Linked DNA regions of Mus musculus. The protein of the gene in region 3 interacts with the protein of the main gene of each other region in a pairwise test. Links are inferred from orthologs where the notes say so. Each region holds a gene or a part of one and is shown on either strand. Other genes may lie near its edges. The genes, in order: Gpatch2l, Dvl2, Thap1 and Zfp385c.

What was found.
Region 1: the proteins of Thap1 (region 3) and Gpatch2l interact in binary tests that used the Homo sapiens proteins (3 or more experiments, as listed by UniProt). The two-hybrid records come from large-scale screens. The link is inferred for Mus musculus from reciprocal best matches to the Homo sapiens genes THAP1 and GPATCH2L.
Region 2: the proteins of Thap1 (region 3) and Dvl2 interact in a two-hybrid assay, tested with the Homo sapiens proteins (2 studies listed by BioGRID and IntAct). The two-hybrid records come from large-scale screens. The link is inferred for Mus musculus from reciprocal best matches to the Homo sapiens genes THAP1 and DVL2.
Region 4: the proteins of Thap1 (region 3) and Zfp385c interact in a two-hybrid assay, tested with the Homo sapiens proteins (3 studies listed by BioGRID). The two-hybrid records come from large-scale screens. The link is inferred for Mus musculus from reciprocal best matches to the Homo sapiens genes THAP1 and ZNF385C.

Annotation. Positions count from the first base shown.
Region 1 is NC_000078.6:86,286,858-86,289,362, forward strand, and holds part of Gpatch2l (G patch domain-containing protein 2-like), read left to right. Parts: intron 1-1,942; coding exon 1,943-2,118; 3' UTR 2,119-2,505.
Region 2 is NC_000077.6:70,004,878-70,013,269, reverse strand, and holds the end of Dvl2 (segment polarity protein dishevelled homolog DVL-2), read right to left. Parts: intron 8,116-8,392; coding exon 7,970-8,115; intron 7,834-7,969; coding exon 7,724-7,833; intron 7,609-7,723; coding exon 7,473-7,608; intron 7,333-7,472; coding exon 7,242-7,332; intron 7,135-7,241; coding exon 7,065-7,134; intron 6,980-7,064; coding exon 6,840-6,979; intron 6,757-6,839; coding exon 6,680-6,756; intron 5,818-6,679; coding exon 5,750-5,817; intron 5,456-5,749; coding exon 5,327-5,455; intron 5,251-5,326; coding exon 5,119-5,250; intron 4,990-5,118; coding exon 4,810-4,989; intron 4,494-4,809; coding exon 4,275-4,493; intron 4,127-4,274; coding exon 3,678-4,126; 3' UTR 3,161-3,677; downstream 1-3,160. Other genes in the region: Acadvl (very long-chain specific acyl-CoA dehydrogenase, mitochondrial precursor), read left to right, coding at 1-98, 187-312, 624-822, 980-1,084, 1,500-1,586, 1,672-1,734, 1,824-1,925, 2,005-2,102 and 5 more.
Region 3 is NC_000074.6:26,154,170-26,163,150, reverse strand, and holds the start of Thap1 (THAP domain-containing protein 1), read right to left. Parts: upstream 4,983-8,981; 5' UTR 4,701-4,982; coding exon 4,630-4,700; intron 2,377-4,629; coding exon 2,181-2,376; intron 718-2,180; coding exon 352-717; 3' UTR 1-351. UniProt on the Homo sapiens protein: DNA-binding transcription regulator that regulates endothelial cell proliferation and G1/S cell-cycle progression.
Region 4 is NC_000077.6:100,630,780-100,639,171, forward strand, and holds part of Zfp385c (zinc finger protein 385C), read right to left. Parts: intron 7,114-8,392; coding exon 6,965-7,113; intron 3,979-6,964; coding exon 3,868-3,978; intron 2,081-3,867; coding exon 1,915-2,080; intron 21-1,914; coding exon 1-20.

The DNA.
Region 1 (2,505 bases), on a different chromosome or scaffold from region 3:
CATTTGATGGTGGTTTCAGAATCCAGACAAGACTTGACAGAGACACGGTAAGAGCCCTTGAGCATTCCTGGTGCCATGTCAAGTCCTACATCCTGTAGAAAAGCATACAGTTTCTCAAGATGGTCTTCATAAAACTGTCATGAGATTTGCCAACTCTGCTTCTTGGTTATATCATGTAAAGAGCAAAAGCAGAAAGTTTAAAATGTTTTAAAAATGTTACCATGTTGTGTGTATGGCTGTTTTGCTTGCTTATATGTCTGTGTACCATAGATATACAAAACTCACAGAAGTCAGAAGATGTTGGATACTCAGAAACTGGAGTTACTTAAGGTTGTGAGCCTCCATGTGGGGGCTGGGAATTGAACCCAGGTTCTCTGAAAAAGTAACCAGTGCTCTGAACTGCTGAACCCCTCTCCAGCCCCCAAACAGAGTTTCCTATGCTGCTGGTCAGAGTAGAACAGCCCAGATTTCCATGGCCAGGTGAATGAGCATCAAAACATGGTGTGTTCATACATGGGGTGCCATTTAGCTAAATTTGACTTTGTGACTGGCTGTTAGAAATGTGCCAAGGCTATCCACTTGGGTAGAATTACTGGATGGGAAAGAAAAAAAAATCTAAAATGTGCTGTATTTTAGTATATCTCAGTATATTTGTATTCTTGGCAGAGTGGGCACACGATGGGAGTGAGAGTGGTCTGTCATGATCCACTCAGGGGCATTTGGAAAGGTGAAGAAAGTAACGGCACATGGTGGGGTGCCGTTGGCGTTCAGTGGACTGGGTCCAGGGGGCACACAGCACAGCTCTGCATCAGCACTGGTTACCCAGTCCAGAGTGTCCCACCAAACTTCCTTAAAGTACTGTGCCTGATTCTATTTTCTTGTCGTATTTACTGGTAACTCCATCATATTGGGGGTCCAGTGTGCCAAGAAAACCATAGGGCTTCCAGCCCAATATTTGAGCGTGAATTGCTACTTTTGATCATTATTTTTTATTTTATTGTATTGTATTTTATTTATTTATTTTGGTTTTATGAGACAGGGTTTCTCTGTGTAGCCCTGGCTGTCCTGAAACTCACTCTGTAGACCAGGCTGGCCTCGAACTCAGAAATCCGCCTGCCTTTGCCTCTGGGATTTGAGTGCTGGGATTAAAGGCGTGCGCCACCACACCTGGCTGAATTGCTACTTTTGATCTACATAGTTTAGTTTCCTGATCCATAAAATGCAGATGACAGTGCCTACTTCTAAGAGTTTCCATTAAGAAATTAGGTCATGCAGGTAATGAATGCCACAGCTGTGATCCCAGTACTCAGGGGCTGAGGCAAGAAGACTGAGTTTGAAGCCATCTTGGGCTACTTCGTACGATGTTATTTTAAAAAAGAAACACACACACACACACACACACACACACACACACACACACACACATACCCAACATGGGGTGGGAGAGAAAGAGTGGGGGAGGGAGTCATGAGTGTCCAGTGCTTAGCAGAGCAGTGCCTGGTACATGTATGCTCCGTGGGTGAAATGTTTTGGGGTTTTCTGTATTGTAAATTTGTCCTAAGTGTTTTAAGTGAAGAAAACATTAACAGGTGATTAGGACATGAAATATAAAGATTAGCCACCGCCGCCGCCGCCTCTTCCTCCTCCTCTTCTTCTTCTTCCTCCTCCTCATCTTCTTCCTCCTCCTCCTTCATTTATTCATTTTATATATGTGAGTATGCTGTAGCTGTCTTCAAACACTCCAGAAGAGGGCATCAGATCTCATTACAGATGGTTGTGAGCCACCATAGGGTTGCTGGGATTTGAACTCAGGACCTGTGGAAGAGCAGTCAGTGCTCTTAACCACTGAGCCATCTCTCCATCTCCAGCCCCCAAGAAACTTATTTCTAGTGCTTCTTATCCTAACTTCTTACACTAACTCCTCTCCCTTCTTTTGTGACAGTGCACCCAGATGTTCTGGAGCCGGCCATCCCAGCTCAGAAGCCTCCTGACTCCGAGTGGTTGGACGGGACCTCTGCAGCAGAGAAAGCCACTGCCTTTCCTCCAGCCACGTTTTTCAAAATGCCACAGGAAAAGAATTCTGGCTGCAGCTCTAGCCCAGGAACCAATGGGTGTTGAAACTTTGTATTGTACAGTCTTAGTGTTCTGATTGGCAGTCTTGGGCCTAATGCCACAAGGACTGACTCCTCGTCACGCACAGCAGTTGCTCTTTCTTTGAGAAAATATTTGGGGAATCTTTTTTTGTAAAATATCAATTTTCCTTAAGTGGGTGGGGCACCCTCTGCTGTCCCCTTCCTTCGTTGCTCGCCCACCATTCACCTTCAGCTGCTGCCTTAGAGCTGCCTCTCCTTGGCAGCTGTGTCTTTGTTCCTGAAAATCTAGCAACAGCTTTTGCGTACCTTCTGTGTAGAGCTTTTCATGTCGCTGATGAAATCCTAAATTTGCAGCCAGTTGGAAACACGTTGCTGGATGGGATTGTGTCTGTGCAGTAAGGCTGGCCATCGA
Region 2 (8,392 bases), on a different chromosome or scaffold from region 3:
CCCTCGAGTGGATCCGATGTAGCCTCCATCCGAAGCTCAGCCATACCCAGCCCCTGTGGAAAATATTACACTCTCAATGGGAGCAAGATCTGGATCAGGCAATCTTCCGTTTCTCTTCTACCCTTCAGCCCAGTGGCCTGACCCTGCTGCTCTAAACCCTATACTAACCACCTCACTCTTCCACAGTAATGGGGGCCTGGCTGACATTTTCACTGTCTTTGCCAAGACGCCAATTAAAGATGCAGCCACGGGGGCCGTGAAAGAGAAGATCACAGCTTTTGTAGTGGAAAGGAGCTTCGGAGGGGTTACCCAGTGAGTATGGGGCAAAACAGAATCAAGGATGGGGACAGCACTGGGCTCTCAAGAGCAAATAGTCAATACAGGCCACGCTGGGGCTATCTCTGTACAAGAGGCACCCACAGGAGGTGAGCAGTTTTGTTTCCACTGGGGGAACACAGGCTAACAGGCCATAGCTAGATATCCGTAGCCCCTGGGGCACATAGGCAGTGCCCTGTATCCTTTTTATAGTCTGGGGAGTTCTCCCCTGATCATGAGACCCGAAAAGGCCGTTTTCCCCCACAGCAACCTGTTCATACCTCAACTTTCCTGCCCTGCCTTTTCAGTGGGCTCCCTGAAAAGAAGATGGGCATCAAAGCATCTAACACGTCAGAGGTGTACTTTGATGGAGTGAAGGTGCCATCAGAGAATGTGCTAGGAGAGGTGGGAGATGGCTTCAAGGTTGCTGTCAACATCCTCAACAACGGAAGATTCGGGATGGCTGCAACCCTCGCAGGCACCATGAAATCCCTCATTGCCAAGGCGGTGAGTCCCAGCCCAGTCCCTAGCTAGCACATGTCCCTGACTGCCTCAGAGCGCCGACACACACACATGCACACTCGACCATCGGCACAGTTAGGCCTCCAGCCCGTCCAGGTGGAAACTGAAGAACCACAGTGGGGTAACATGCGCCCTCTTGCAGGTTGATCATGCTACTAATCGTACCCAGTTTGGGGACAAAATTCACAACTTTGGGGTGATCCAGGAAAAGCTGGCTCGGATGGCTATTCTGCAGTATGTGACTGAGGTAAGGGCCTCCTGGGCCCCTTCCCTGGAGCCCTATGGCTTTCTTCACAGTTGGGTCAGACTACAACCCCCAGCAGCACCTGGGGCAGTGGGTCTCCAGCTTTACACCAATGCCCTAGGGGATGCGAGGAGGCATAGTCAGTTCTCTTCTGGAGGGTGGTGCTGCTCTGCTAAATGCTGCCCAGATGCACCAAACACGACTTTTAACCCACCCCTTTACAAAGTCGGAAGCCTCGAAGCCCCTGATATACCAGAGGGTCACATATTGGACATATTTGACCTGACCAGGAGGCTAAAGTGAATTCAAGGGTTGGAGGAGTAGATCAGCACTGGTCTTGAAGGTCTGAGCATTAGCCATTCTGTCTGATGCAGCCCTTCCCTGTTGTCTTCCCCATGTCCCGACCATGCTCCCTTAGTCCATGGCTTACATGCTGAGTGCCAACATGGACCAGGGATTCAAAGACTTCCAGATAGAAGCCGCCATCAGCAAAATCTTTTGCTCGGTGAGGACCCAGGTGTGATGGGAGGGCGGAGTCCAGATTAGGACCTCAGCTCAAAAATCCAACTCATCTGGTTCTCTGTCCTCAGGAGGCGGCCTGGAAAGTGGCAGATGAGTGCATCCAAATAATGGGGGGCATGGGCTTCATGAAGGTACAGAGTATTCCTCGGCAGGGGGGGGCATCTGTTCAGAGTGGACAGGCACATCTCAACAGAGGTTTCTGTGTCTTCCTGCGTGCCAGGAACCAGGGGTGGAGCGTGTGCTCCGAGATATTCGAATCTTCCGGATCTTTGAAGGGGCAAATGACATTCTTCGACTGTTTGTGGCTCTGCAAGGCTGTATGGTAAGAGGAAGGAGGATGAGAGAGAGCAGCTGGGGAGGACACTGAGTCCTCACTGTCGCCGTCCCCCTTCTCTCCACAGGACAAAGGAAAGGAACTCACTGGGCTGGGCAATGCCCTGAAGAATCCTTTTGGAAACGTTGGCCTCCTGATGGGAGAAGCAGGCAAACAGCTGAGACGGTACCTCATGGGCCGGGGCCAGGGTCAGAGTCAGGGTCAAACAAGATGGGAGGCCGCAACTGACCAGTCACTCTTCCATCTCCTCTCAGGAGGACAGGAATCGGCAGTGGTTTGAGTCTGTCAGGGATTGTCCACCCAGAGTTAAGTCGCAGTGGTGAACTGGTGAGTGAGCCTTAAAGCAGAGCCTGCGGTGGCTGTGCGCTGCCTTCCTCTCCTGAGCTCTGTCTGTGACTCTTGTCTCTTCAGGCAGTGCAGGCTCTGGATCAATTTGCCACCGTGGTGGAGGCCAAGCTGGTGAAACACAAGAAAGGGATTGTCAGTGAGTGAGCTCTGCAACCCCCTTCCCTCCCTGATTCCCTCCCTCCGACTAACAGCCCCACCCTCATCTACCTGACAGACGAGCAGTTCCTGCTGCAGCGACTGGCGGACGGCGCCATTGACCTCTATGCCATGGTGGTGGTTCTGTCCAGGTAAGGCGGCAGCGAGGGACGCTTGGCAGGCTAGAGCCACAGAGGAGCTGGGCCAACACCAGCACTCAGGATCATTTTAACCTCTGTTTCCTCACAGAGCCTCAAGGTCCCTGAGTGAGGGCTACCCGACGGCACAGCATGAGAAAATGCTCTGTGATAGCTGGTGCATTGAGGTGAGCCTTGGAGCTCCCCAGTACAGGTGGGCCTTGGAGCTCCCCAGTACAGGACGGCCTGACCGTCCCTCCCCTTCCCTCTCCCCAGGCTGCAACTCGGATCCGAGAAAACATGGCCAGTCTGCAGTCCAGCCCTCAGCATCAGGAGCTCTTCCGGAACTTCAGAAGCATCTCCAAGGCCATGGTGGAGAATGGTGGCCTGGTCACCGGTAACCCCCTGGGAATCTGAGACTCCCAATCAGGCCCTGGCAAGGTCATGTGCCTTCTCTGATGCCAAAACCCTTTATGGGGGTGATGGAGTACTTATTGCCTTAACAATAAATTTTCTACCAAGTCACTGTCTGCCGTGAATGTCACTGCTCCCTCCTCTCCACTGCCTGCCTCGCAAAGAAAGGAGCCAGAGGCTTGGGGAGTTGGCCTCTATTTGCTTTATTTGGTGTTTTGTACAAGTGACTAAAATAAATAGAGTAACAAAGGCAGCTACACAGTCCCCAACACACCACCAGCCTCCTTGGACTGCTGTCTGGGGTACCCAGCCCACACCTTCTTCTTCCCAGGGTACCACTGACCACCACCCACCCTCAACATGAGAGCTGACTAGGCACCTGGAGGTGGCGGTCATATTCTGGGGTTAGAAGGGATTCTCCATATAAAAGAGGAACTGTCTATTTAAAAAAATACTCCCCCAAATATAAGAAAGTCTATTTTAACCCCCCAAAAAGCTTATAAAAAATAAAGCTAAAAATAACCAAAGGTCCCCATCTACCCCCGAGGAAGAGGGGGAAGGACCAGGCACTGCTGGTGAGAGTCACAGTGGCAAAAACGTTTTGGTAGGCACCAGCCGCCAGGCTGAGCCCAGGCACTATGAAGGGCACCAGGCTGAAACTTGCCAGGCCAAGGGCACAGACCCAATGTGGCCTCAAGATGGGTCCCTACATAACATCCACAAAAAACTCACTGGGGTTGCCCATGGCCATGTGGAAGCTCTGACGGCTAGCTGTCAGTTCTGGGGGCACGGAGCCCAGGTCTCTGACTGGAGGGGCACCAGGGGGCTGCACTGCTGTGGAGACAGGGGGTGGGGGTGGAGGCATCATAACTACCATCATGGGGTTATAGGGGAGAGCCATGCCAGATGGGGCTCCATAGGGATGGAGCCCGGGAAGAGCTCGGAGATTAGGAGGAGCGCCTGTCGAGCCCCTGGATGGAGGAGGGCCGCCATCACCAGTCCCACCAGGCTCCCCACCCCGCCGAAGGCTGCCTCCCCGGCTGGAGAGTTCTGACTCACTGCCACTGCCGGACTTGGACTCAGGGGCCCGTTCCTCAGGCCTGCCTGTGCGCCCAGCCCCCCCATCGCTTCTTGTCGACCCGCTGCTCCGGCTCCCTGTTGGAGGGCAGAGGTGACGAGGAAAATGAAGCTCAGCCCAGAGTCCTCAGGATCCCAGTCCCTGCTCTTGCCTCTCCTCCCCGAATCCGCTCTACTTGTGCCCACTTTCTCTGGCTGTACTGGTACGTGGGAGTGGGTCACTTACCCTCACTGTGCTGGCTGCTGGCACTGCCTCCACCATAGGTGTACGAAGAAAGCTCGTGGTAGGGTGGAGGCTGGGGGCTGTAGGGGTGTGGCGCTGGATACTGGTAGGAGAAGGTGGGCAGCAGGGGCCAGGGAGTAGCTCCAGGCAGAGGTGCCAGGGTATCCTGGTCTGAAGCCCCACTGGAACCGTCATTGTCATTCAGAGAGAGGTTAACTAGGTCTGGAAAAAAATGGAAGAGAGGTCCCTGCTTTAGGAGGCCAGGATTCCTGAGAACAGAGAAACCTGAGCCATTTCCCCAGAGCTCCCCACGAGACAAAAGCCAGAGACCATGATGGCTTACAACAGGAAACTCTGCTGCTCTGGCAGAGAAACAGCCAGGACTCTCACCAATAGCCCCAAAATGCTTTTGTGAGCCCCGTGCAGCACTCTTTCCCTTGGGGATGCAGCTCAGGTACCTCGCTTACTCAGCAGTACTACTCAGCAGTACCGGGGCACACATCAGCCTGAGCTCCTACAGCCAGACCTGCTGACTTACAACTCTCACAGCCACCACTGAGGTCCCCGAAGACATAATAGCACTGCTCAGAGAAAGTAATCTTGTTGACGGTGTGCCGGATGAGTCCCGCCTTCAACAGCCCACTGGCATACTTGCGGGCCTCCCGGCGCTCAGGAAAACCTTCCACGTGATGGTACAGCCAGTCCACCACATCGGAGCCTGGGATCCAGCACAGCAAACAGGTCAGACTCTCCTCCCAGCTCCTCCCCTCCCCTCCACCTTGTGTTGTGCCCAGCTTTGGCCTCCTCCCCACCTTCCCATGCCACCTTGCTCAGGGCCTGGGAATACCTAGAAAGGCGTTTGGGATGGTGATCTTGAGCCACATGCGGTCCCGGACTTCGAGCCCAGACTCTGGGGCTGCCATGGCCTTGGTGACAGAGGCCATGTCCATGTGGACAGAGAGACCCCGGCCTTCGCAGCCTGATAGGAGAGACCACGGAGAACTTACGAAAGGTCCCTCACACACCCAGGGAGGCGGGAAAGGAGAGAGACTCACCATCAGGCAGAGAGGAGCCAGATGTGATAGTGCTCATAGATGAGGAGCCAGGGTAAGCAGGGAAGGCGCCAGTCAGCGCAGCCGAGTGCGACACCCAGGCGGCTGGGTCGATGGGCTGGATGGGCTCATCTAGGACAAGAGTAACGTGAAACACCAAGATGATTGCTGCTCAAGCCTGGAAAACTAGGCCTGTGTGTTCCAGAATTAGGAGTTCTGTCTACCCCCATCCCTTGGCCCTCCTGAACACATTCCCTACAACTTCCAGCTTTTCTCATCTCTTTTTGGGCTTGTTTGGTTGAGGCAGGGTTTCACCCTGTAGCCCAGGCTGGCCTCATCCATCTAGAGATCCTCCCGCCTTAACCTCCCAAGTGCCCACGCTCCCCAGATCTCCTAACTCCAGACCCCAGCCCCAGCATCACTCACTTCGAGGGAGGGTGAAGTAGGCCTGGGGAGACGGGTCCCAACACTTGGCCACGGTCAGCACGATGGGGCTGTGGGGAAGAGCAGAGCAGCTCAGGGGAGGGACGAGGCCTCAGGAAGCCCGAGGCCTGGTGGGAGGAGACTGAGGACAGAGAGGTGGGAAAGAAAAGAGCTCACGTTGCTGGGCTAGAGAGAGTGAGGGTGAAGGCCTCCACAGTGCGTGTGACTCACAACATGGCTAAGTTCAAAACACTGCTGCGGGGAACAATGGAGAGCAGAGTGAATGTTCCCTTCACTCACAGCAAGCCTCACCCAGGTAACACCAAACCATCTTGTTCCAGGACTCATGCATGAAAAACCATTAAAGGTTTTCTTGACCAAAGAAGCCAAACGGTAATTATCATCAGTGAGGAGAGGGAGTGGCAAGGAGCACACAGTGGGTGGCCTCTTCTCAGGTGCTCACCCACATCTGCTTCATGCTCTAGTGTGGAGTGACATGCCAGGGAGATTTGCAATTTGTGGGTTTTGTTCTCTTTTGAAAGACGTATTTGTTTTTTTTTATGTACGTGAGTACACTGTCAGTCTCTTCAGACACACCAGAAGAGGGCATCAGATCTCATTACAAATGGTTGTGAGCCACCATGTGGCTGCTGGGAATTGAACTCAGGATCTCTGGAAGAGCAAACAGTGTTCTTAACTGCTGAGCCATCTCTACAGCCCTTGTTTTGTTTGGTTTTTGTTTTCTCGCTATGTAGACCCGGATGGACTGAAACTCACTCTGCAGACCAGGCTGCCTCACACTCAGCCCAACTGTGCCTCAAATAACATGTTTAAAGGCATGCACCACCATGCCTGGCCTCACGTCTTTATAAAAATTGCAAAACAAAGGTAAACAGGCTTAAGCCCAAGAGGCCTGGGGCCAGCCGCACTCACCCTGGCTTGTGCACGATGTCTCTCAGCACTCGTACAGCATCGTCGTTGCTCATGTTCTCAAAGTTCATATCATTTACCTGAAGGGAAGGGGTGGTGGGTCATGGGCAGTGTGGGAGGGGCAGAGCATCCGCCCCAGCCAGCAGCCAGGCCGTCAGCGCACCTGCAAAAGCATGTCTCCAGGCTCGATCCGCCCGTCCGCAGCCACCGCGCCCCCTTTCATGATGGAGCCGATGTAGATGCCCCCATCACCACGCTCGTTACTTTGGCCCACAATGGAGATGCCCAGGAAGTTGTACTTCTCTGTGGAGGGGGGCCATATGACTGAGCCCCAGAAACCCCAAGCCCCTCTCTCTCCTTCCCTTCTCCCCGTCAGGACCCTCCATACCCATGTTGAGCGTGACCGTGATGATGTTGAGAGACATTGTGGAATCGGTGACACTGCTGAAGGATGAGGTCTACAGCGGGGAGACATGAAAGGTGTGAACTGCTCCCCGTCAACAGAGAGAGAAGCCACAAGCTTGTGTTTCAACCAGAGCCCACTTCATCCCAAAAGAACCCTCACCCTCTCCATGCGTGGCGGCCGCTGCTTCCTTCGCCTTCGGTGGCGCTTGAGGAGGCGGGAGGCACTGCTCTGCTCAGTGGAGCTGCTGAACCTGATAGCAATTGAGAAGCATAGCATTTGGAGGTGGAAGTGGTCAGGGAGCCACATGAAACAAGAAGACTGGCTGGGGGGGAGGGGGAGGGGAGGAGGGGGGAGGAGGGAGGGAACAGGGAGGGAAGTGTGCAGCCATACCTACTCATGGTGTCATCCTCATCCGAGTCTCCTAGGCTGGTACTCTCCAGCTCACTGGTCATGAGGGTGGAAGAGCTCTCGTAGCCAGCCAGGTGGCGCTCCAGCCTCGAGGGGCCACCAGGCCTGTGGCCACCAGCTGTGTATAAACAAGAGACTCAGGAGCCAGGCCTCCCCTTCTTCATACCCAGCATGCTAAGGCTTGCCTGTCTGCCCAGCTCAGTCTACCCTGCCTCCAGGGTCCATCCCCTCACCGCCATGTTCACTGCTGTCTCTCCTCCTAGGTCGGTCTCGCCTCAGTGATACGACAGATTCGGTCTCTGTCTCAGGCTCTAGATTTTCATGGCTGCTGGATACATTAGGGCTACACAGGTAGAGAGAGTTTCCAACCAAAGTCAGTCGGACAGAGCACCGGAACCTCAGTCCCCCTCTCTCAAGAGGTCTAGACTGAATTCCCTCTTCGCTCCCATCCCCTGGACTCAAGAATATAAAGGACTCACTGGAAGGATGGAGGCCTTGAGTCCCCAATTCCACTGGTCCTTTCTGGTGGCAAAGGGGGTAAGGGTGGAGGCGGAGGAACCAGTTCTGTCCGAGACTCATGGGCTGGGGGAGCCACCTCAGGCTGTGGGGTATCTGACGACACAAGCTAGAAGAGAGCACGTAAGAAAACATGGTTCTGCTGGGGAGCGGTGTACGAGAAGAAACTAAGGAAAAGGACCAGAAAAGAAGGACACAGGGTCCTGGAGACCTGGGTGAAGAGGCCAGAAAAAACAATCCAGTACGGGAGGCTATAGGAAGAGGAGGCCGAGGAGTGCTCACTGTATCCACATTAGAGAAGAGGGAAGCCAGGCCACCCGCGACTGAGCAGGGGGGAGGCTGCAGAGACAGACTGAGGTTGGAAGCAGCTCAGTAATGAGTCCCCT
Region 3 (8,981 bases):
CAATAAAGGGCATTAATTTTTAAACTTAAATCATTTTATCATACCATCACCCTCTCTACTTTTTATTTTTACATTATTTCTATAAATACTCAAATGAAAAACAATCCACCATCTTGAAACCAATATACAACATTATATTGGTGGTTTAAGGATTTTTTAAATATTTGTTAAAATGTAGAAACTCTGAAATTACAAACAAAAAAATTACAATTTTACAGTATATATCTAATTTATTTTAAAAAAATATTGTTTTTTTAATACAAGTAATTAAGTGTTATTTTTTCAAATGAACTCCTGTATGTAGGCTAAAAGAAGGTGTATAGTCTTGTCCCACTAACACATCTCATTTTTTCATGCTGGAACTTCAACAATTTCAAAGTAGTCATTTGGTAGGATCACGTAGCCCCTCTCGGACGCGTCGTCCTTCTCTCTCTGAAAGTGGACGACTTCCTTGAGCTTCTCGAGCTGCCTCTCCTGCCGCCGGCACCGCTGCTGGGCCGTCTTGAGCTTCTTCCTGAGTTTCTCCACCTGCTGCTCCAGCTGCAGGATCCTCTTCCTCTGGTGCATCGTATCCTCCACAGTGTAATTGTGGTCACAGAAAACCGACAGGTTATCAGGGGTCTGCAGAGGGGGCATTAGCAGCCCAATAGCAGCATCAACCTGGGAAGCGGGGGGTGAAGGAGAGGGGAGCTGTTCTTGGGATTCCAGGTCTTCCTTCTAGACAGCAACAGACAAGCACGTGGGGTTAGTAACTAACATAGCTGAGGTTTCAACATTAAACAGTTTTTGTCACTCCATGATACACAAGAAGTCCAAAATGAGAAAATACATTGTCTTGGTGGGTTGCAGTACTGGCATGAAATCCAGGGCACCAGGACATCTAGGCAAAGCTCTCTAGGATTCAAACCGCCTTCCAGGCCTAAACATGTCAGCGTTAGGCTTTGGCTTGTCTGTAGATTTTAAAAGCCTAGGTGTGTAGCCTAGGCTGGCCCTACACGTAAGCTCCTCCTACATTTACCTCCCAGGTATTAGGATTACAAGCGATAAGCCCCTGGCATCAGTTTAAGGTGGTTTTTGTTTGTTTGGGGTTTGGGGTTTCCTTGTATTTGTATGGGGGAATGGGGCATCCTTACTGTATAGTCCAGGTTGGCCTGGAAAATGGCAGTGTTTACCAGGCTAGCCTCAACTGTGGCAATCCTCGCAGTTGGTTCTCTGCAGTGCTCAGACTGCAGGTGTGTGCCACCATGCGGCATTTCCAGTCCTAATTCAACTTTTCTAACTGACGTTAAAGTGGAATTTGTGAAACAGAGAAAGTGATTTAGTTGGATATAAGTAAATACTAAACACCCAAAACAGAAAAAAATTAATCTGAAAATCATCCCCAGGAATGAAAATGAAGCTTATCAACACATAAATGAAACAGAGTTTCCGTTACCTTAAGCAGAACTAGACTGAGTTATTTACTGTGAGATCTCTAATGTGCAGAATTGTTTTTAAAACATGTATTATTGTTAATAGTGGCCTTTTTTTTTCTTAAAAAAGAAAGATTTATATTTTAATCATGGGCATATCTGCTGTGGGAGTGGGGGGATGGGAGGGTATGAGAAGACTGCTTGAAGTAGGTGTTAGGAATCAAATTCAGGGCCTCTGGAAGAGCAATACACATTTTTTTATTTTTTTTAAGATTTATTTATTTTATGTGAGTACACTGTAGCTGTCTTCAGACACTCCAGAAGAGGGCATTGGATTCCATTGCAGATGGTTGTGAGCCACCATGTGGTTTCTGGGAATTGAACTCAGGACCTCTGGAAGAGCAATCAGTGCTCTTAACCTCTGATATTCTTAACCACTAAGCCCCAACAGTAGCTACTGCTAAATGATAGGTTTCAGATACACTTGTTTTGTTATCCTTTCCCTGATTTTTCCCATGAACACATTAGCTTCAGAAATGAAAACAGCATTCACCCAAAGCCAATGCTTATGATAGTAGAATTTGGAAGGTAAAGGCAGGAGGATCAGGAGTTCCGATTCAGCCTCAGCAGCTCAAAGCCAGCCCAGACTACTTACGACTCTGTCTCACACAGGGATGGGAGGGGAAGAGACTGGAGGGGAGGAAAGAAAACAGAGAAAGGACTGGGAAAGGAAAAAACACCAACCCAGCACTTAAAAACCCACGTTACCTTCTCATGTGGCTCGATATAGAGAAATATTGTGGGCACAGCGTTCTCCTTCAGTAGCTTGTTGTTGCACTCCCTCTTAAAGCAGTCCGGGGTGAAGTGCTCCGAGCAGATGCTGCTGTACTTGGTGGGCTTGAAGTTTTTCCTTTTAACAGCTGCCTCCCACTGCTTACAAAGGCTGGGGCGAGTAAGAGGAAACCTAAGGAGAGACAATCCAGTTCTCTGACTTTAAAAAGATAAAGAAAAGCCCCACACTCTCCGGCTTACTAAAGAACTACCTTACCCCATCCTAAGGAGACTCTGATTGGAGATTAGTTCTGGTTACCAATCTCCCTCAGGAAGCTTTACCTTGTCATAACGAAGACACTTGACAGTGCAATTAGAACAGACAGTATGTGCAGTGCACTTCTACTCATGCCTTACTAGCAATTCTGTGTCTTATAGAAGAACAAAAATCGGACATATGTCTATATCCTCAAAGAGACTTCTAGCTCTTTTTTAGTCAGTCCAACACATAGACTACATTCTGACAGCCTGAATTATACGCAAGTGATAAAGAAGGTAAGGACTTTATTTTCGTGCTTAATTCAGCATACAGAGTGGGGAGTCTTTATATTTATTGCCCTGTGCTTTTCTATATCAAAGACGCAGTGGGAGACGCTAGAGTGATCAGAAAAAGCTATAGAATGTTTCAATTTAGCTTTACTGTTCTTTAGCTGTTCCACCACATAAGGTATGCCAGACCCCGATCATCCTGTTCTTCATGAAGACCTAGCCAACCTTCGTGTTAGGGCTTATCTTTATATTAGCCAGCTTTCTCCACTGCAACTATGTTCAGGCTGGAAAAAGCATATGCCTAAAAAGAAGTTCAAAGCACCATGGTGGCAACTTCTTATAAGTCCTAGTGTCTCGTCTCCTAGGACGGGGGCACAGAACTGTCAAGCAAGATCTTGGCCACTTACTGTTCTTACATAAGGCTTAAGACTCATGTTAGCCCTTGTTCTTATTTTCCAACACCCAGCAGTTGAAACGGTCTTTTTGATGTGTGCCATTTTTAACTAGTCTGCATACTTGAAGGTTCCCTGGGCCATCTTAATAAAGCATAGGAAAGGGAGGCGGCAAGTCGAATGCACGTCCCTGTCACCATTCCCTCATCTAGTCCTACATTCTGAGGATGTATGAAATTTCAAAAAACCAAGTCATAGTTTAGGCTATATTCTAGCCTATTCCCCAGAGAAAACAGCACACAAGTCTTACTTTCTTGCAAACATTATTAAACATGAACACTACTGACCCCTCAAAATCTGAGAGACCATTGTGAAATTTGTTTCTGTAATCGTTTTGCTATGGATAACTTGCATAATTTACCAGTGGATCTGATTTCTTAGCTATCATCTGCATACAGTCAGGAATTCCTCCAAAACCTAACATAAAACTTGTAACAACAAATTTACCTGCCTAAAAATTGTCACATTTTGTGGACTGTTAGCATTAACAAACACCATCAGTAACGCTAATTCTATGACTTTCTTCTTTCAAGAGAGTATTTTTATTTTTCTCTTTAAAAAGATTTATTTATTATATATAAGTACACTGTAGCTGTCTTCAGACACATCAGAAGAAGGCGTCATTTCTCATTACGGATGGTTGTGAGCCACCATGTGGTTGCTGGGAATTGAACTCAGGACCTCTGGAGGAGCAGTCAGTGCTCTCAACCGCTGAGCCATCTCTCCAGAGTATTTTTCACCCTGGCTTCTTGATTGCTGCACCCACTACAAGAACGAGCCCTGACGGCTGTGGGGGTAAAGCTGGTATTCGCTCACATTAACCTTCACCACGGCAACAGAGTCAAGTGTGTGCTATCGTCTCGTTCTTCCTGTGTGTTGAAAGACAGGGGTTCATCTCGACAATACCAAGAGCCTCCTCTAAAGCCCATGGATGCTAAAGGTTGGTTCTTTGACGCTAGGACTTAAGAGTCCTCCCTGGCATCCCGGTCAGCTGCCCTGCTTCCTTCCCGGCATCCACAGTGAGGTCCGAAACCTGTCCTCCTCCCCCTGTGCGTTCCCAGCTCGACTTCCTCCCTATGTGCCACGGCCACGCCGCGGCTTGGGACGAAGAGGTACGCAGGGCTGCGAGAGGCTTCTGGGCGTCGCTCGCTCGCTTGCCCGCCCGCCGGAAACCCTCCGCGAGCGCGAAGGCGCGCGGTCTCAGCCCCCAGCGGAGGCCAAGACCAACGGAGACGCCGCGCGCCCGGGATGCGCAGCGGGGGCGCGCAGCCACGGGGACGCGCCCCCGTGGGTCCCCGCCCCCGCCGGCCCGGCCCGTCCGCCGCCCTGAGCGCCCGAGCGCCCGCCCCGCCTCCTCCAGGTCTCGCGCGGCCACGCGCCGGGCTCCGCCCCCACCCGCCCGCGCGCCCCTGTCGCCGCGGCCGCGGAGCACGCCAGTTACCTACTTGTGGAAGGAGACGGGCTTGTCCTTGTCGTAGCGGTTCTTGCAGCCGTAGGCGGAGCAGGACTGCACCATCCTTCTGGCCCTCCACACTTCCCTTCGGCCCGGGAGGCAGGCGAAGGGGGCCGTCGGGGTCGCCGCGCTCGGCCTTGATAACGCTCGCCGCTCTCGGTGGCGTCGGTCAGCAGTTACGGGGACGATCACCTCGCCGTGGGGTGGGGGTTGGGGTGGGGGAGTGACTACCCTGTCCGTTGTGGGGTTTGCTTTAGCAGAAGGACCACAGCTGTCGCCCGTCTCCCATCTTCAAGATGGCGGAGGCAGCTTCAGCCTCACCTCTCGCGAGGACTCGGCTCGCCGTCTCTGATTGGCTGAAGGTAACGTTCCCAGGGAAGCTGACCATTGGCTGGGGCGAGGCGCGCCTGTGGGGCGTGGTCAGCAGTGCGGAAGTGGGTGGGCCCTCTGCGCCTTGGCCGGAAGAGAGCGCGTTTGTTTGGGATCCTGACTGCAGTCGTTCTCGTAGTGGTGACTGTCGTTAATTTGTCCGGCGTTTTCTGCTGCAGCTTGATAAAGAACGGCCTGTTGGGTCCGAAAGCCTGCAGGAGAACGTGGAAGAGCTCGTCCCTGGCCATACGCAGTTTTTTTTTAAAGGGGGGGGAACCAGCAGATGCGTGGATTGTACAAACCTGTGGTCCACGTTCAGAATCCAGGTGACCGTCTAACTAGACAACGAGGACAAACGCGCATTTCATTTCCTCTAAGCTGGGAAGGAAGACCTTTTTTTTTTTTTTTAAATGTATGTGAGTACACTGTCGCTGTCTTCAGACACACCAGAAGAGGGCATCAGATCTCACTGCAGATGGTTGTGAGCCACCATGTGGTTGCTGGGAATTGAACTCAGGACCTATGTAAGAGCAGTCAGTGCTCTCAACTGCAGAGCCATCTTTCCATCCCTACAGTGCACTTCTGAACGTTGTTACCTTTGTGTAGGCGCAGCGATTTTTCAAGCTGAAGACAAGTGTTACAGGCTTGACCCTCTGTAGTTTGGAGTGTGTGGCGCATTCTCTCCCTTATAAACTATTTTCTGTACCCTTAAATATTGCTTCTCTTAAGGATCTATTTAGTGGCTACCATCTCTAGAACTTTGACTATTGAACCCACATACCATCTTTTCCTAGCTCGTTTTACTTGAGCACACATGGACTTGCCTTCAGAGTTATCAGGTATATGGTTTAATACATTCGCCAACTACTTAAATCTGAAATCCTGGTGTCACTGAGATAAAACAAAAAAACTAGGCTTTAATTCAGCAGAAAAGAACACTTGTTGCTCTTGCAGGTGACCCGGGTTCGATTCCCAGCACCCACAAGGCAGTTCACAACCATCTATAACTCCAGGCAGCTGGGCACCAGGCACACATGTTGTGGGTCAGAGGACAGTTTGTGGGAGTGGGTTCTCTCCTTCCACCTTGTGGGCTCTGGGACCTAACTCGGATCATTAGTCTTGATGCTAAGTGCTCTTATCAGCTGCTCCTAGGACCCCTTCCTCGAGACTTAGGTTAACCTCATAGAATAGAGAGGTTATTCTCTCACCACCATCCTTGAATTCAAGTACTCACAGTCTCAACTTTTTGTCAGTCCTAGTCTTCAGCTTTCTCTCTGTCCCTCATAAAAACACTGCCAGCCCCTTGTTTATAAAGCTTAGACATCCCAGGATACCTCTGTAGTGAATAAAGTCCAAATTGCTGATGATGGCAGCATAAGCAGCAGGTACTCCTGTGTTTGTACCATCTTCCCCTGCTTGTCCTTACACTCCTGTAACTGCTCAGATAGGCAGCTTTGCTTGGCCTGGGATGCCCGTCCCCTGACTGCTTCATCTTTCCTTAAGATGTATCTTGTGTGTTTTTTTCTGTCAGGTTTGCCTTATACCTTTTTGTTTTGGTGAAGTTGTGTACTTATGTCTGTAATTGTGTGCTGTAACATCTCTGTCTCATCTGACTGGGGTGCTGGGGAGGCTGGCAGCATCTTACTGAACCTGGTAGCCTCAGCAGCTCTGGTTGTCACAAATTAGGAGACATTGAATTAAATGGACCTAGAAACTGTACCTAAATTCGTTTCAGAGAAGTAGCTATATATTAGGAACACCAGAAGAGTGGTTTATTAACATTTTATAGGGTATTGATACTAGGTTCTCTACTTTAGTCCACTGCAAAGAAAAAAAAAATCATGATATGGTTAACAGATGGTACCCCAAAAATAATTTATGTAGTTACCTTAAACTCTGAACACATCATATGGCTTGTTATTTATTGAAAACCTGTTCTGTACTTCTGAGGGGCTATATAGTGAAGATGGGTGGTATAGTAGTCTGCCTTACTAGTTATTTTACTAAGCTAGTGTTCTGTAGTGAGAAGAAGGAGAGTCACACAGAAATTCGAAAAATGCTGGAGGAGGTTGCAGTTATTAAAGATGAGGCTAGGACTGGCCTACTAGAGGAAGCAACTACTGAAAGATTTCAAATTAGCTGTGAGGACATCTTCTGTACCTGGTGCCATGAGGCACGGGAAGCCCACCTCCCGAGGCCTGGGGATCCAGCCTGTTCAAGGAGAAGCAGAAGTGTGTTGGAGTTGCTGAGTGCAGTGGCTTGGGGGACAAGTAAGAGGAGAGGTTAGAGGATAAGAGCCTAAGGGGTTCTGCAGGCTGATGTAAGCTGCTGGTTTACCATGCTGAGGTTCTTGTGCTGAGCAACAACCTGTCTCCACAGTCAGCTTTGAAGCAGAAGGGTGATGCAGGTTTAAATACACTTCAAGTTCAGGCTTGGTAGCACACTCTTGTAATCTCAGCCTTCACAAAGGAAGGGCAAGAATTGTGCTGAGTCTGAGGACTACCTGGTCATAGTGAGTTCTAGCCAACCAAGGTATACAAAGTCAAAACCTATCGAAAAAATAAATTCTGCTGTGTTGAGATGGGAGTAGGGATGTGAGGTGTAACGTGGGCGGTAAGTGATCATTTATCTCGTTCATTAGTTCATTTTCCTATATTATGCCCCCATATGGGCTAGCATGTTATTTACAGAACTGTTAGTGAGGCATATTAGTGTATCTTCATAGAGCTTATTCTATAAAGGGGAAAGTAGAATAAAAGTGTAAATTAAGGGCTGGAGACTTTTTTTTTTTTAAAGTATAAATTATACTAAGGTACCTGAATAAGGGTAACTAAGGGTAGGTATCCCATGCAAGAAACAAACATTTGAATGTTAATCAGAGGATGGAATGGATGAAGGTGAGGAGGAACATTCCAGACACTGGGAGTGTATGTTAAAGCACCAACCTGTGTTTGAAAGTACAGCCAGTAGAAGAGGGCCAGACCCTGGTGGTGGAGCCAGTTAGGAGAAGGCCATGAAGTAAAGATTGAAGGAGCCGAGTATTAGTATGGATGAGATTCAGTGGCCACTGAACCACTTTAGGCATTAGTATTTTATAAGGGTAATTCTGCTTATTTTAAGAGCTGTAGAAGACAACAATTCAAAAAGACAAACCAATTAAGAGGCTGTTGCTGGTGAGCAAAGAGGTGGTAGCTTGGGTGAAGGTGGTAGCAGAGAAGCCAGGACTGGTAAGAACAAGGTGTGTGCAGTGCAGGCAATACAGTTTAGTGAGAGGAGAGTGAGAGAACTGGGCAGGGTTTGAGCATGGTTCTAAGTTGAGCATTAGATGTATGAATGTATGTAATACAAAAGTGAAAGAAGAACAACTCACAACAAAATAGAACTTGGAAGCACATTACGCCAGGGGCAGTTTGTAGGACTGGGGATGTCAGAAAAGAAAGCTAAAAGTGGTGTTAGAGTTAAGCAGTAAATGCCCATTAAGAAAACACTTGGGTCCAAGCAATATCCTCCCTGGTCTGGGTGAAGCCCTAACCATCCAGTTGGACCTGATCAGTCAATCACCTGGCTGAGAGCCCACCCCTAGAGAGAGGTTCACCTTAAGACATGACAAAGAGAGACAGGTGGAATGAGGTACTGTAGACCCTTCTAGAATCCCTGCCTCTGGTGCTGTAGAATTCAACTTCGTAAGTCTGATTCAACTTCATAAGCCTGCCTACTTTTCTTTCTTTCGAAGCATTGCTTGCCTTAACACTTGGGATTTCACCCGCATATGGGCATGCTTGTCCACAATGTGTTTGACTTCCATACCAGCTTAATTATGCCATCCTAAATGGTAGAGTTGGTTTGGTGGGGTTTTGTTCCTGTTCTTTAACCATTATCCTCCAGTCTTCAGGCAGCTGCTGAGTTTTATAGCTTGCTTGCCCTGGATTTTTTTTTTTTCTTTTAACCTCTAAGAAGACTGTACTTGAGCCTCAT
Region 4 (8,392 bases), on a different chromosome or scaffold from region 3:
AAGAGGAGGGGATGCAGGACCTGCAAGGACATGGGACATATGGGGAGATTTGGACCTCTGAGGCGCAACACTGACATGGTGATAGAATGGGAGGCTGGAAGGCTTCCTGGTAAAGGACAGCTAGCACTCAATTCTGGGTTCACCCTGCCACCAACTCACTAGGCAAACTTGAGCCTCAGTTTCCCTGTATAAAAAATCATAAAATCGGCCTGGTGTGGTGGTGCACGCCTTTAATCCCAGCATTGGGGAGGCAGAGGCAGGCAGATTTCTGAGTTCGAGGCCAGCCTGGCCTACAAAGTGAGTTCCAGGATAGCCAGGGCTATACAGAGAAATCCTGTCTCAAAAAACCAAACCAAAAAAAAAAAAAATCATAAAATCGGACAGAATTGGTCACACTTTCAGTCTAATGTTCTAGCTCCTCAGTATTGAGTAAGTAGAAGTCACCAGAAAGATGTGCTAGAATGTTTTAGTATTATAATAGCATTAAACTGGAAATTGGTGAGATCCATCATACAGGTGAATGGTAATCTATCTTTGAGGCAGAGAACACAGCACAGGAAAGGAAAATGACCACATGTAAACTCAGAAATGATGGGTGTTAGTGGAGGTTTTAGGGGGAATGTTGTTTTTTGTCAGAGTCTAGTGTATCTCAGGCTGGCCATGAACTCACTATATAGCTGAGGATACCCTTGAACTAGATTTCTAGCCTGCCTGCCTCCACCTCGCAAATGCTGTGATCATGGGTCCGTGCCACTATTCCCAGTTCCGTGGTGGTATTAGGAATCAAACTCCGGGACTTCCCAAGTGGTCTGCAAGTACTGTACCCACTGAGGTAGACTCCCAACCCCCTGTCCTTTCTTTTCTGAGTCAGGGTCTTACAGAACCTTAGCTAGCCTTAAATTTGATGTGTATTCCAGACTGACCTGGAACTCTGAATTCTCCTTCCTCCGTCTCTAAGGAGTGTAGGGGACAGTGGTACCCATTAGCTGAGACAGGAGCTTCTCCCTCTGGCCCCCAGGTTAAAAAAAAAAAAAAACCCAAACCTACCCACATCTGAATGCAGACCTCTGACCTCTAGATTGTGGAGAAAATACACTTCTATTGTTTCAGCCACCTACTTTGTAGCCTTGTGTTCTGCCAGCCTTAGGGAACCAACACAGGGAGTAGTTGAATCCTAGCTCAGGCTAGGTGTGCTGGCAGCACGTTGCCTGATCCAGAGTCAGCCTGAGGAAGGAACAGTATAGGTGTCTGCCAATGTCTGTATATTAGGGGTCATTTTTTTTAGCAGGAAATATGGTGAAAAGCTAAAGAGATGGCTCAGCTGTTAAGAGCATGTACTGTTCTTGCAGCAGATGGGAGTGCAGTCCCCAGAACCCATAACCACTGCTACTCCAGCTCCAGGGACCTCATGACCCCTCCTGGCCTCTGTGTTCCATGAGCACCAACACATTCACACACACACACATACATTCACACACACACATACATTCACACACACACATGCACACACACATTCTCACACATTCACACACACACATTCACATTCACACACACATGCACACACACACACATTCACATACACACATTCACACACACACACACACACACACACACACACACACACACACACACACACCAAAAAATCCCAAGTTAAAAATAAAAAGCCAGGTAGTAGTGGTGCATGCCTTTAATCCCAGCACTGTCATGAGGCAGAGGCAGGTGGATGGATCTCTATAAGTTCAAGGCCAGCCTGGTCTACAGAGTGAGTTCCAGGAAAGCTGAGACTACACAGAAAAACCCTGTCTTGAAAAACCAAACAAAAGAAAAAGGAAAGAAAGATGGTTGAAGAGCCAGAGTCACTCAAGCCGCTGTCAGAAGCCAGCCTCGTTGTGTGAACTTGAAATCAAGACTGACCTTTGCTCTGAGGGGTTCCAGGGCTTCCACTGGCTGGAGGTGAGGCTGAAGACACCACTGTCCCGTTTGTGGTCGGGTTTCGAGGCCTCTGCTTGCTCTTGGCAGCTTCCACAGCCTTGAGTTTTCTGGCGTGTCTGTGGCCCTTGTAATGAGCCTCAGCCTGGTTCTGGAAGAGGGAGGGGAGGGGTCATCTTCTTCCCGTGGGTCTCATGCCTCATCTAGGAGGGAGGCTGAGTAGGGGGATAGGCCAGAGGAATATGTGGTCAAAGGGACGAACACAAGGCTCAGCCACAAAGGGGTGATGTCAGTGTCACCATCATTGCCACATGTATAGAGCCCTGAGGTTTACAACAGAGCTTGTTCTCACACAGGGGCTCCCATGCAGGCAGCCTGCCCTCAGAATCAAACTTGGCCATTTATGTAAGCTCTGCATCTCTAGGCAAGTCACAGCACCTCACTCAAAGGCTGTGTGTGTGTGTGTGTGTGTGTGTGTGTGTGTGTGTGTGTGTGTGTTGAACCTAGAGTTGCACACAAAGCCTTATGACTACTGGGCTCCACTAAGCCACATCTCTCCAACCTTATTTGTTTCTGTGTTCCCAGATCCAGAAGTGTTGAACCCAGGGACATTAACCAAGTGATGCTCTTGGGTGTCTGCCTATATGTACAGAATATTCTGGAAATGGACTACTTACTCTGTGGCCCAGGCTGGCTTTAACTCATAATCCTCCTGCCTCAGCCTCCCGAGTAACAGGACCATAGGTGTGCCCCGCTTGAAGCTTCATGATGGTTCATGGGATATGAGTTGTCAGGGTCTAGTTTATAAAGCAGGATCTCCTGAATGTTAGGGAGTCCGCCCATGGAGAGCACAGCAGTCCTCATCAAAAACATCCCATTGTTCATTATTTTAAAAATAATTCTTGAGCATTTGCTGTTGGCCCAGCCATTCTGCCAGGGCCTAGGAATGGAGACATGTCCCTTCCAGCAAATCTCTTTACTGACATTTTGTAGAATGATGTGATCTAAACATCTGGAGAGGATGCCACAGCTGGGTGTCAGAATCCTCTTTACTTCAGTCAGGAGACTCTACTTGTTTCTCAACTATTTCCCAAAAGTGGGAAAGACCAGCCTCCACAAGGCCCCCCTTTGGCTCTTTGGCTCCACTGTGGTTCAGACACCTCACCCAAAACCCCACAATGAGATTAGCCCCCTCTGCTCCCCCAGGATAGGCTGCAGTAGGAGTGTGCAAACTTCAGGGTCAGTCAGGGCTGGGTTCAAACCCTAGAAATGTTATTCACCAGCTGTGCTCCCTGGCAAATTATTTATCCACCATGAGACTGTGTTCTCCTCAGAGAAGTGAAGATGGTAATTGTGCCTCTGTACCTCTCACAGATGCATCATGGGAGTCCATTAGGGTGATGAAGCTTAGTGGTGTACACCTTTAATTCCAGCACTTGGGAGACAGAGGCAGGCAGATTTCTGTGAGTTTGAGGCCAGCCTGGTCTACAGAGTAAGTTCCAGCTAGAGTTACACAGACCCTGTCTCAACAACTACAACAAAATTCAATCAAGCTGGGCATGGTAAGGCACTCCTTTAATTCCAGCACTTGGGAGAGAGGCAGGCAGTTCTCTGTGAGTTTGAGGACCGCATTGTCTCTACAGCAAATTCCAGCCCCACTCCAAAGATGCCGGGGTGAATACATGCTCTAAACATCTTAAGTCAAGACCGGGAGTTCACATTGTAGCCTCTGGGACATCCAGAAGATGGGTGTGAAGCAGAGGGGAGGAGAATGGAATTCTAGTGGGCTACATGGAGTCAGGAAGAAGTATGAGAAGGAGCAGGAGTCAGGAGAGGATGGTGGTCAGAGCAACAGCCCCTTTGCTACCAGCTCCCATGACAGCAGCCCCGAAGGAGACCCTGCTCCCTCCGAGCCCCAATCCCATGATTCCCTCTCACCGCTGAGTTGAACCGCAGATGACAGATGTTACAGGAGATGAACAGCTTCTTCTTCAGAGGGGAAGGGACCCCAAATGTGTGGCTGATGACAGCTTTCTGGACTGGGTCCATCTGTGAGGGGGGAGTGATAGGACTTAGTTCCTCCTGCGTGCTCAGGAAAGGTGCAGTTCAAAATGCAGTCAGCCGCCCAGAAACCCCAACTCATGCTATAACTCTGACAAGGGTACAGCCTTGTTCTGGCAGACGTGATCTGTCAGGTGCCAAGAGGATGACCAGGGTGTGCTTAGGGCCATGGCCTGACACAGAATCACCTTGGTGTCTCTTGCTGCCCTTCTGGTCTTAGTTTTGAGATTTTGTTTTGGTGGGATTTCCTGTCTCCTGACCCAGCTTTTGTACTTGGACCTGCTGGTAGGGGCAAGAAGCCCTACCTCATCACCTCTGCCACTGTCCCAAAGTCTGATGACTGCTAAGCAGAATGAAACCTGCTTAAGGAGGGCAGGAAGGCAGGTGACCAAGCAGGACAACCTCTCCGGGTTACTCCAGGTGGCAGGATTGTCCCTTTTGCAATATGAACTTGCATGTTTTCTTTTTTTCCCTAATTAATATGTTTTGTTCATTTTTTTGTTCTCTTGATTATCTATCTATTTTGAGACAAAGTCTCACCTAGGTCAGGCTGGTCTTAGAAGCCTTGTCTTCCTGCCTCAGCTTCCAAGTGTTGGGATTATAGGCATGCAACACAATGCAGTAGTCTGTCTTTTTTTCTTTCTTTTGAGATAAAGCCACTCTGTAGCTGAGGGTGACCTTAAACTCTCCTTCTTGCCTCTACCTCCCAAGAATTGAGATTAAAGGCATGTGCTACCACATCTGATTTATGCAGTGCTGGGAATCAAACTCTGGGCTTTGTGCATGCTAGGCAAACTCTCTTCCAACTTTACTATATCCCAAGCCACTTTAGCTTTTTCTTTCTCTCTCTCTCTCTCTTCTGTTTTCTTCTCCCAGGGGCCTAAGTTTTGGACATTTATTTGGTTTTTTTGTTTTTTGTTTTTTGGGGTTTTTTTTGGGGGGGGTAACAGAGTCTCACTACGTAGCTCAGGCTGGCCTTTAAGTCACTGTGTAGCCCAAGCTGTCATTAGTGCCCATTCCTTAGTCTCCAGAATGCTAGCATTGCAGGCAGGGCCACCATGCTGTGCATTAGACGCCTAGGTTGTTGGATTCAAAGGAGAGGTTGTCTGGTTTAGTCAAAAGGAACTTTCCAAACCTTCCCATGGGAAGAGACCTGAGGCAGAGAGGTGAGCATGGTATAGGAACTGCCCTGAGGACAGAGGTTACAAGCTGGACAGTGCCCAAGGGACAGCCAGCCCTGCATCAGGATTTCAGAGGGAGATCTTGACACTGGGCCAACAGTAGTGTCACCTGCCTTTGGAGCCCACTCCTTTGGGCGGTAAGCACATCTGTAAATGACAATAGGGGCTAAAGCTCATAGGCCCATGCCCAGATGTCTCATGCTCCTCAGGACATCTGTACCACCCTGCAGGGGACAAACGGGGGGGGGGGGGGGAACCTCTCCAGGTTCCTGGGAAGGCATGTGACATGTGACATAGTATCCTGAGGAGAGAGTGGAGCTCATCATGATTTCATTTGAGAATTAAAGGGAAGCTGCTCCTAACACCTCAGGGAGGGCTCCGAACATCTGCTCCTGCCACACACCACACACACACACACACCATATACACCACACACACATATACCACACCACACACACACCACACACACACCACACATACCACACACACACACACATCTTCACAAATAACACACGAACTCACACATATAACACACAGACCTCCAGGTAGGTACACAAACTCCAAGACGAAGATATAACTCAAGGTCTGGAGCCACAGCTCAGCAGTGAAGAGCACTTGCCATGCAATCATGAGGGTCAGAGTTCAGATCCCAGCGCCCACATAACAACCCAGGTGCTTTTATGCACGTCTGTAATCTCAGCCCCCTGGGAATGACGGCAGGAGGATTGCTGGGTTGTGCTGGTCTGTAGCAGAACCAATTTAAGCTTACCCCCAACTAGCTTACAAATAAATGAGACTCAGACTATGGCCATTTTATTTTGCTTTGTCAATTACTGGGGGCTAACGCCTAATCTACTCTTCTAACTGTTGGCCTGGCTGCCTCCCCAGCAGTGTACCCCAAATCCTTGCTGTTTCTCCTGGCCATCTGCTCACGGTCCATCTCCTCTCCTGGTTGCCTCTCCTCTCCTGGCGAGTCTCCTCTCTCCTCCTTGTTCTTCCTTACCCACCTTCTTCCTCTCTCATGGTCCTCCTCAGACACCAACCCCGGGAAACTGAAACCCCACCTACCTCTCTTCTGCCCAGATCTAGGCTGTCAGCATCTTTATTCAACTAATAATAGTTTTAAATGACAGAGCAAGGTCAGATAGCATTACTTGGTGTATGTGAGGATTTTCTCTGGTCCCTGAGGGCAACCAGGGTCAGTATTTAGCCTTACAATACATAGCAACAAACCAAACCTCAACACACCGGTCTCTTGCTTTGCTGAGAAAACAGGAGCTCCAAGTTCAGAGAGAGACCACAGAGGACATCCAGTGACCTCCTCTGGCTGCTGCGCACACATGTGAACACATACCGACTCGCACATAACTAAATACAGAAATCATAAAATAATCTTTAACCTCCAACGCAAGTGCCCATGGGCACACATAGCTCACACACACGGATCATCCATAAAATTCCATCTCCGCCAGGTGCAGTGGCCAAACCTTTAATCCCAGCACTCAGGAGGCAGAGGCAGGCGGATTTCTGAGTTCAAGGCCAGCCTGGTCTACAAATTGATTTCCAGGACAGCCAGGGCTATACAGAGAAACCCTGTCTCAGAAAAAAACAAAAACAAAACAAAAAACACCATCTCTGAACAGTTGTGATGGTGGGGTAGGGATGATATCATCCTCATCTCTAGGTAGGTGACAGCTGGTCCTTATTTGATAGCACCTAGGGCCAGCCGAGTCATCTTCCTTGCCCAACCCCCTTCCTTGCACATACCCCCCACCCTCCTGCCCGGCCCATACCGTGCTGAAGTTGGGGAAGAGACTGAGCGGGGTGGTGCCATTGAGGTGGAAGGCGAGCAAATGCTTCAGGTCCAGCGGGGGTTGCAGAGGCCGGGCGGGCAAAGTCAGGGAGGCCAACAAGGGGCTGGGGGAGCCGGAGGCCGGACCTGCTGCAGAAGGAAGAAGGGCAAGGTCTGAAATGAGGAGCCACGGGGCTCTCTCCCACCTCTGCTGCCAGAACAAAGGGCCAAGACAGGAACTTCCCGCTCCCTCTTCATAACGGCACCATCCCAACTCCATTGTGGAAGCAGAGTCCGGGAGTCCACAGCTCAAGTCTCCTAAGCAGAAGAGTGACCCTTTCTTACTGACAAGGTCAGCACTGTGGCCCAAATAGACACCAAAGGGAGTCCAGCCAAGAGAGGGGTCAGAGGAGTCAGGGTTGACATACACAAAACCATGGTGACAGGGTGACAGCATGACACACTACTTGTCCCAGTTGATCCCAAAGCACCAAACTCAGGGAGTGCGGGGAAAGGCCAACTCTTTTTGGTCTCACTAACTGTCCCTTTCTCACTTCCGGTTTCATGCCACTCACAGAAGGAATGAAAAGAAACCCAAAGCATAGGACTTGGGAGATGGCACATTGGTCAGAGCACTGGCCAGTCTACAGGACCTGGGTCTGATTCCCAGCACCCACATGTTAGCTCACAACTGTAACTCCAGTTACAGGGGACCCAATGTCAGCTTCTGACTTCTGCTGGCATCAGGCACACACGTGGTGCCCATATATGTCTGCACTTATATGTATCAAGTAAATCTTTAAGAGTCCCCCAAAGCCAGGCAGTGGTGGCGCACGCCTTTAATCCCAGCCCTTGGGAGGCAGATTTCTGAATTCAAGGCCAGCCTGGTCTACAAAGTGAGTTCCAGGACAGCCAGGGCTATACAGAGAACCCTGTCTTGAAAAAACCAAAACCAAACCAAACCAAACCAAACCAAACCAAACCAAAAGTCCCACAAAATTAAGAAGATAGAAAGAAACCCACAGCATTCTGAACAGTTGGGTTCCCAGTGCTGGTGGGGTACCTGCTGTTTCTCTGAGGATGCACCCCATCCAGCATCCAGGGTGACACCCCCAAGCCAGTCCTCAGGACCCACGGGAACAACACTGTGGTTTTGTAGTCTTTGGTCTTAACAGTGTGAAGTAAAGGCAGAAAGGGGCTGGAAACCGACAAACCAGATTTCAAGGGAGGAAAGGGAAAAATAAAAGCAGAAAGCAAGCTGGGCGGTGGTGGCGCTCGCCTTTAAACCCAGCACTTGGGAGGCAGAGGCAGGTGGATTTCTGAGTTCGAGGCCAGCCTGGTCTACAGAGTGAGTTCCAGGACAGCCAGGGCTACTCAGAGAAACCCTGTCTCGAAAAACAAACAAACAAACAAACAAAAAAGCAGAAAG